Linked DNA regions of Daphnia pulex. The protein of the gene in region 1 interacts with the protein of each later gene in a pairwise test. Links are inferred from orthologs where the notes say so. Each region holds a gene or a part of one and is shown on either strand. Other genes may lie near its edges.

The links.
Region 2: the proteins of large proline-rich protein BAG6-like (region 1) and dnaJ homolog shv-like interact in a two-hybrid assay, tested with the Homo sapiens proteins (2 studies listed by BioGRID and IntAct). The link is inferred for Daphnia pulex from reciprocal best matches to the Homo sapiens genes BAG6 and DNAJB11.

What each region holds. Positions count from the first base shown.
Region 1 is NC_060023.1:11,638,803-11,642,867, reverse strand, and holds the start of large proline-rich protein BAG6-like, read left to right. Parts: upstream 1-1,265; 5' UTR 1,266-1,531; coding exon 1,532-1,600; intron 1,601-1,669; coding exon 1,670-1,787; intron 1,788-1,856; coding exon 1,857-2,009; intron 2,010-2,071; coding exon 2,072-2,300; intron 2,301-2,359; coding exon 2,360-2,801; intron 2,802-2,863; coding exon 2,864-3,745; intron 3,746-3,813; coding exon 3,814-4,065. Other genes in the region: transcriptional adapter 1-like, read right to left, coding at 15-373, 441-728, 788-824, 884-951. UniProt on the Homo sapiens protein: ATP-independent molecular chaperone preventing the aggregation of misfolded and hydrophobic patches-containing proteins.
Region 2 is NC_060017.1:5,991,590-5,994,866, forward strand, and holds dnaJ homolog shv-like, read left to right. Parts: upstream 1-1,161; 5' UTR 1,162-1,340; coding exon 1,341-1,399; intron 1,400-1,485; coding exon 1,486-1,879; intron 1,880-1,943; coding exon 1,944-2,086; intron 2,087-2,151; coding exon 2,152-2,366; intron 2,367-2,432; coding exon 2,433-2,695; 3' UTR 2,696-2,777; downstream 2,778-3,277. Other genes in the region: maternal protein exuperantia-like, read right to left, coding at 174-362, 531-539. UniProt on the Homo sapiens protein: As a co-chaperone for HSPA5 it is required for proper folding, trafficking or degradation of proteins.

The sequences.
Region 1 (4,065 bases):
CAATAAATATTTACCTGTTACTGGTACTGTCTTGGATGGACCATGAATTGTGTAGCCACGGATTAATTGTAGGTTGGCCAACCGAATAGATGACTTTGTTCTCTCGAAGGCGGTACCCTTTCCGGTTTGTTATGATAGCAATTATCAGTTCTTTAAGAAATTGCTTGGTAGCTGCCAGTATCAGTTTGATGGCTTTGTCTTCACAACCATGATCCAAACCAGCATCCCAAGCTGCTACTAGCATTCGACCGTGAACGAGTCCAGCGTCAGGTAAAATTAGATCCTGGCTGCAGTAACGAAGCTGTGGTTTCTCTACAGTGCAAGGAGCAGAAAATGGTAACAGAGAAACTGGATTCACTGGTTGGAATCGATTCTAGATAAGAAAAGAATTATGTTAATCAAGGTCTCCAATGAAAATTCCAATAATTAAGACATATTACATCAAAGTTGACAGTGAGAGGCTTGTTCTTTGGGTAAACTTGTCTTGTCACAGTGATCGGTTTGATTTCAACAGAATTACGTTTCTGTAGAGGAATGGTATGTGGTCTGATTTTGTTCACTTCAGTGACAACAATTGGCTTTTGCTTCACACCATGATAGACATAGGTTGAAGGCTGGCACAAGCTTTGACATTTTGTAACAATGGCCAAAAGAAACTCATTGTGAAGATGAACTTGGTCTACTTTCAGGTACAATCTGGCTTGGCGATCAAACTCTTCTTTGCTTGTCTAAATAGAGAGAATGTCAGTTATGACTGAATGGATAGTATAAAAGAAACATTTCTTACCCTCATACAAAACCACGATTTCAGGTGGGCAAAATAACTAAATAAAACATGATATTAGAGATATACCACCACAAATATCAAATCTGATTTATTTACTTCTTAGAAGAATCTCCCAAAACATCCACCAACCGTTTCCTGGCTTCGTTAACATCAAGTGCATTCATTGTTGTTGTGTTCTGACTTTTGAACTGCTTCGCTCACTTTTTTAGATTTAACTCGCCATTGGATTTCGTCTACACCTGTCTTGCCTCGACTATCGAAAACCACCAAAAGATGGTGCTCATTCCAGGAATTGATTTTCATAAAATAATTTTTTCCTTGAATTTGTCATTGATAAATATAACGTGTAAAATTAGATAAAATCTTGTTCGTAAAATGTACAAATTATCATGAAATTGAAGTGAATTCCTCTTTTACGGTTTAAAACCAAGAGAAATAGGTGGCGTTGTAACACAACTTGGTTCGTAAGCCTATGAATTGTCGGCTGTGTCGTGTCGTGTCGATTCGATGTGGAGACAGTTGCGCCTCTATTTGTTATCGTGTATTATTACAGGCCCGATTTCCAGTTTTCCACGTTAGAGATTTACATTTCGACACCCATTACACAACTGACGTCGGTTCAGAGCCGTCCGGTTAGATCGGTAAAATAAAAAATACTGAAACCGAATAATTATTATTAGTGTGTCTGTATCGTCACCAAACTACAGCGAGGTTGGAACTCGAGGTGGTGAAAGCTAAACAAAAATGGCAAATATTGAAGTTACCGTCAAAACCCTCGATTCGCGTAATCATAAATTCACAGTTTCAGAGGAGGTAAGACCATTAAAAGAAACGACTCGTGAGTTTTAGATAGGGGAAACTAACTGGATTTCTGTTTTGCAGCTCACAGTCAAGGAACTTAAAGAACACATTGCTGGGGATGTAGGAACACCAGCAGAGACTCAGCGTTTGATTTACTGTGGCAGAGTTCTTCAAGATGACAAAAAGCTCAGTGAATATGGTAAATTGAAAATACTCTTTCCTAGCTCAAAACAAATGATTGGCATGTAAATGTTTTTGTGTTTTACAGACCTGAGTGGAAAAGTCATTCACTTGGTCCAGAGAGCACCTCCAACAGTTGGTAATCCTCCTTCAGGACCACCAAGAACTCAAGGATCTAGACCAGGAAACATTCACTACCACCTAGACAGAGGGTTTCAAAATGGTGCCAATCATTCATTTGGTAAATTTCTCATCATTATTAAAAGTAGAAATCTCAATAACAATGTTTACGATCAAATGAAGGTTCAGTACCAGCTCCAGCCGGAAGTAGTTCTCTGTTGCGTTTGAATACAGCCAGACACATGCTGGAGGATGCCTCACAGAGTTTGGGAAGGATCAGTTCAGTTCCCAGCACTGGTTCACTCTTTACAATGGATAATACTGCTGAGGGACCCTACTCATCCATACAAATGGTTCAAGCACAGGCTGCCACTGCTATAGCTGCTGCATTTTCAACTGTTCAATCCTTGGGGTAATGACAAACCTCCAAACTAAAAAACTAAAAATGTTAGTTACGTTTCTTTTTATCAGGGCAAACAATATTGCCGTGTTGCAAGGACCTAATGGATCACCAGCAGTTCAAGGATCGTTTGGTTTTCGGGTGCAAGGGCCTCAACCAAATAATCCACCAGAGAGTGGCAGTGGCGCGAGCGAACGCGTAAGTCCTACAGCTCCGACTTCAACAACACCCCCTTCAACAACTCCTCCTTCAACCACCCCATCTGCAACTCCTTCGTCGGCTCCTTCGTCAGCTCCGTCGTCAGCTGCAGCTCCTCCTGGTGACCAACAACCTCGACAACAGCAAATTCGAAATCCTCGAGTGTCTGTCTTTGCCGATGTCATCGAAGATATGGAACGGATCCAGCAGGATCTTCGCCCTCATTTGACAACCGTCCGTCAGCTCCTCAGAGATGATCCCGTATTGGACAGCACATCACCTGAATACCGGCAAGCACAACACACCTACAACCAGGTTCAGTAAAATCATATTATATTTTCCTTTCCATGTTTTTCAATTGATTTTTGATCCAAAAGGTAGCCGAAGGATTGCACTTTTTGGCCCACGCTTTTCACGCCATGAGCGATTTAATGGTTGACTTTGGAACTCCCCCTCCTCGTGAAGTCCGTGCTAGACCCTACGTCTACCAACAAGTTCTTTCATCGACCATACCCATTCACGCTTCAATCAGCGTCGAGACTACACATACCCACCGAGCTCCTCAGACACAGGCTAACCCAGCAGCTCCTGAGGCCGCTACAGCTCCTCAACCGCAACCAGCGCAAGCTCCTCCGCGATTGCCCACAAGAATATCTCCTCATGAGTTCATCCGACACGTTACCCGCCCACCCACTGCAGCTACTGCTGCCAATCCATCAGTTCCTCCAACTACAAATCCGACATTTCATGGTTGGCGGGCTGCTGGAACGACCGGAACGGGTGTAGCTAATGCATCGGCGCAGAATCCCCCAGCTCCAAGAGCCTCAGTCCAAATGCTGCACCCTGAAATGCTGGTCAGGGGAGGACCGCACCCGTTTGGACGTTTGCCTTTAGCCATGGCGAGTCAAGGAGGCTGGACCCCTGTCAATTTAGGTGGTCAAATGCATCCAATGTCGCTCTTTATGGAAGTTCGCTCGAACAACAATCAACAGGAAGATCAACAAGCGTCTCGTGGGCAATCACCAACATCTTTGGGCGAATTTGACGACTTTTTACCGTGTCATTCTCGACATGTTACCCGCTCGTCTTCATCCAGACCCGACACTGAGCGAGCCAGACCACGCCCAGTGGTTGTCACTTCCACGTCGGCGGCACAAGCTTTTCCCGGTCTCAATCAAACCCGTCCACCAGGCCCTGGAAATCAACCGACAGCCGTTCCGGCCTCCGTCGACGAATTTATGAACGAAATGTTTCGTCAGGTAATTGCGGCATTGAAAATTGCGAGAGGAAAACATTGATAATGATTGGTCATTAAATGGAAATTCAGGTGACGGCCAATAGCGGTGTACTATCAGGCGGGGTAGTAGCAGGTGGAACGAGTGGTGGAGATGGATCCAGCAGCCCTAATCCAGTGTTAACCAACGCCTTGTTTAGTAGTTTGCTCCAGGGAGTCATGCAAGAAGTTGCGGGTGTGGTGAGTGGCCATCAGTCGCCCAACACGGTGGCCCATTTCTTACGCAACATTCCTGATTTCACTTACACGGCCGGCGAGTCGTTCCTCTTTGACCTCTTTATGACT
Region 2 (3,277 bases), on another chromosome or scaffold:
TTTCTGTAATTTGATTCTGCAACACAAAACACTATCGATAATCAAACAGCATTCAACAACAGTGTAGTGGTTAAAAACAAAATGCGAGCAAAGAGAATACTTAGGCAGTCTTCAAGAACAGTTCCCCTTTTCTTTAACCAATGTGGTATTGAAACGGTGGCTTCCCACATGACCACAGCAATGCTGTCATCGTGTTCAGGCATTGGCTGTGCTGGCTGAGTGGTGATCACAGCGGGGGGAGCATCAGATTCAACCTTGGCCTCTGTAGTTGGTGGCTGAATTATCACCTCTATGATGGTCTCCTTGGTGGAAGATGAGGTCTGTTGTTCTTCACTGTTGTTGGTCATTCCTGTAATTTTATTCTGCAACACAAAACACTATCGATAATCAAACAGCATTCAACAACAGACTTGTAGTGGTTAAAAACAAATGCGATCAAAGAGAATACTTAGGCAGTCTTCAAGAACAGTTCCCCTTTTCTTTAACAATTTTGTGGTATTGAATGGAATTGATTAGTTAATTAATTTTACCTGAGCCATTGATGGCCGCTGGTTGATGTGGAAGAGAATACCATTACTTCACTTTCGAATGAAGACTGCAAATGGAAAACAGTAGACCGAGTTGACTAGATAATAGGCTGTGTTTATATAGCACGGCCTTATAGCAATGCGTCAGAACCATCTAACGGCAGTTTAGAAAAACACGAAAACACAAATTCGAGTATATAATTATGATTTCGTCGCAATATAAAAATCTAAATGCGACGGCTCCATGTAAAACCTTGTCTTGCACAAGATGATCATAATTTCCTAATTGTTTAACTCTAAGAAAAAAAACGTATAAAACATTAATGAAATAAACAACTTTCCTATCTCACTGAGAGGAACAACGCCATCTGTTGGTGTGGGTTGGGTTGGGTTGGGTCAGGAAACAGGTCTTTGGCGATAGAATCCCTATCGGGAAATTTTGACACACTCGCTAGAGGCGCTCACACGAAATGGGCAATTCGAGAACATGAACTTTGGACTATAGGGAAAATATACATGGAGTGCAGTGTTTATGATGTTTCCCCAACGCTACACATGACGACATGCATACCATTTCAAAACACCCTGTGGCGTCTATAGTTACGATACGTCACCAAACCCCACCGACCAATGAGCTTTTCCCACATTGAATCCAGTATTCTGCAGACGTCCTTTCCTATTTTCTGGCGCGTTGATACATTCTGAACAAGTGTAATATTTGCTGTTGTTAATTGTGGTAGTGGTCTAACCTAGGCTGTTAATTCGTGGACACTGCTTCTAACTTATAATCAAATTAAAACTTTTTTTTTCAAAATGCACTTGAAAGTGTTATTGTTATTTATTTGCCTTGGACTGGGAACCGTTTTAGCAGGGTAGGTAGCGAATCCAATTTACTTTTGTAACCGGCATTAACTTGTGACGATTTTCTAACGTGAGCATTTTTTCTTCGTTTTTACAGACGAGATTTTTATAAAATCTTGGGAATACAAAAATCAGCAAACACTAACCAAATCAAGAAAGCATACAGGAAATTAGCAAAAGAACTTCATCCTGACAGAAACAAAGAAGACCCTGAAAAAGCCAGTGCCCAGTTTCAAGACCTTGGAGCAGCCTATGAGACTCTTTCCGATCCAGAGAAGAGAGAACTTTATGATCGCTGTGGTGAAGAGTGTGTTTCAAAGGAAGGTGCAGGTGGGGGTGGAATGGATCCGTTCGCCAGTTTTTTTGGTGATTTTGGGTTTGGATTTGGGGGTAATGGTAACCAGGGTCAAAGGGAGGTTGCAAAAGGAGCAGATATTGTGATGGATCTTTTTGTTTCTCTCGAAGAACTTTACTCTGGAAACTTTGTTGAGGTAATGCTTTCATTAAAAAGTAAAGAAGAAAAGTGATTTTAAACATATATTTTACATTCTTTAGATAACACACAACAAACCTGTTCTAAAACCTGCAAAAGGTACTAGAAAGTGCAACTGCAGGCAAGAAATGGTAACCCGACAATTAGGTCCAGGAAGGTTCCAAATGATGCAGCAAGCTGTCTGTGATGAGTGCCCCAATGTCAAGTAATGGAGAAATCAAACTTAACAACGAATAGCAACTTATTATTCATGATGTTTGTATGAAACAGGCTTGTCAATGAAGAACGAGTTCTCGAAGTCGAAATCGAGCAAGGAATGACGGACGGTTTGGAGCAGAGATTTACTGCCGAAGGTGAACCACACACTGATGGAGAGCCAGGTGACCTCCGTCTACGAATTCAAACAGCTCCACATTCCACTTTTGAACGCCGAGGAGATGATTTGTATACCAATGTTACCATCTCTTTAGCGGATGCCTTGGCCGGTAAGTTGCAGCGCAGCAACGAATAATGTTTTAAATCTTGATAAATAACGGTCTATTCTGTTTTAGGTTTTGAATTAGATATTGAACACTTGGATGGACATAAAGTACATATCGTCCGTGACAAAGTGACTTGGCCAGGTGCTCGCATTCGTAAGAAGGGTGAAGGAATGCCAAATTACGAGAACAACAATCTTTTCGGCATGCTCTACGTAACATTTGACGTGCAGTTCCCGAAAGACGAACTCTCAACTGAGGTCAAGGAAAAGCTCAGGCAATTGCTGTCGCAAGATTCAATCAACAAAGTGTACAATGGCCTCAGAGGGTTTTAAAGTTCTTCGATGCATTTCGTGCATGTAAATTTTTACAATTTTTTTTTTTTTATTGAAAAAAAAAATCGCTGTGTCACTACGATCTACTTCTTGTTTCATTCTGCGACAGCCATAATTCCCGGTTTAAGTTGTATGCCACACAAGGATATAGCTCGGCACCGCATAAATTTGACATTTCTCATCGGATTTGAAATTCTCCAGAAAAACTGTAGGGGAGGCAATCTTGGGGGTCTTTTTTAAGGGTCGTACAAATGAATAGCGTTATATTCGCTGAGCAGCGGACTCATATCATATTATGGTTTTCTTAGTATACAGTTTTTTTTGCAAATACCTTTAAAAAATAATGAGACAGGATGTAGCCACCCAATAATGGAATGCAACCAATAACTGTCGTCGTTTGCATGTGGAATAAAAACGAAGAATTCTAAAAATATATTTTCTATAGGTTTGATTAGTAAATGTCAGAAAAAATAAATAAGATAACTTAAAGCATCTGCATAAAGACAGACTTAATGCAGTTCAATGGAATAAGGACAATTAGCTTCCAATTTCTTTTTCGTTTAGGCCTACAGCTACAGCCCT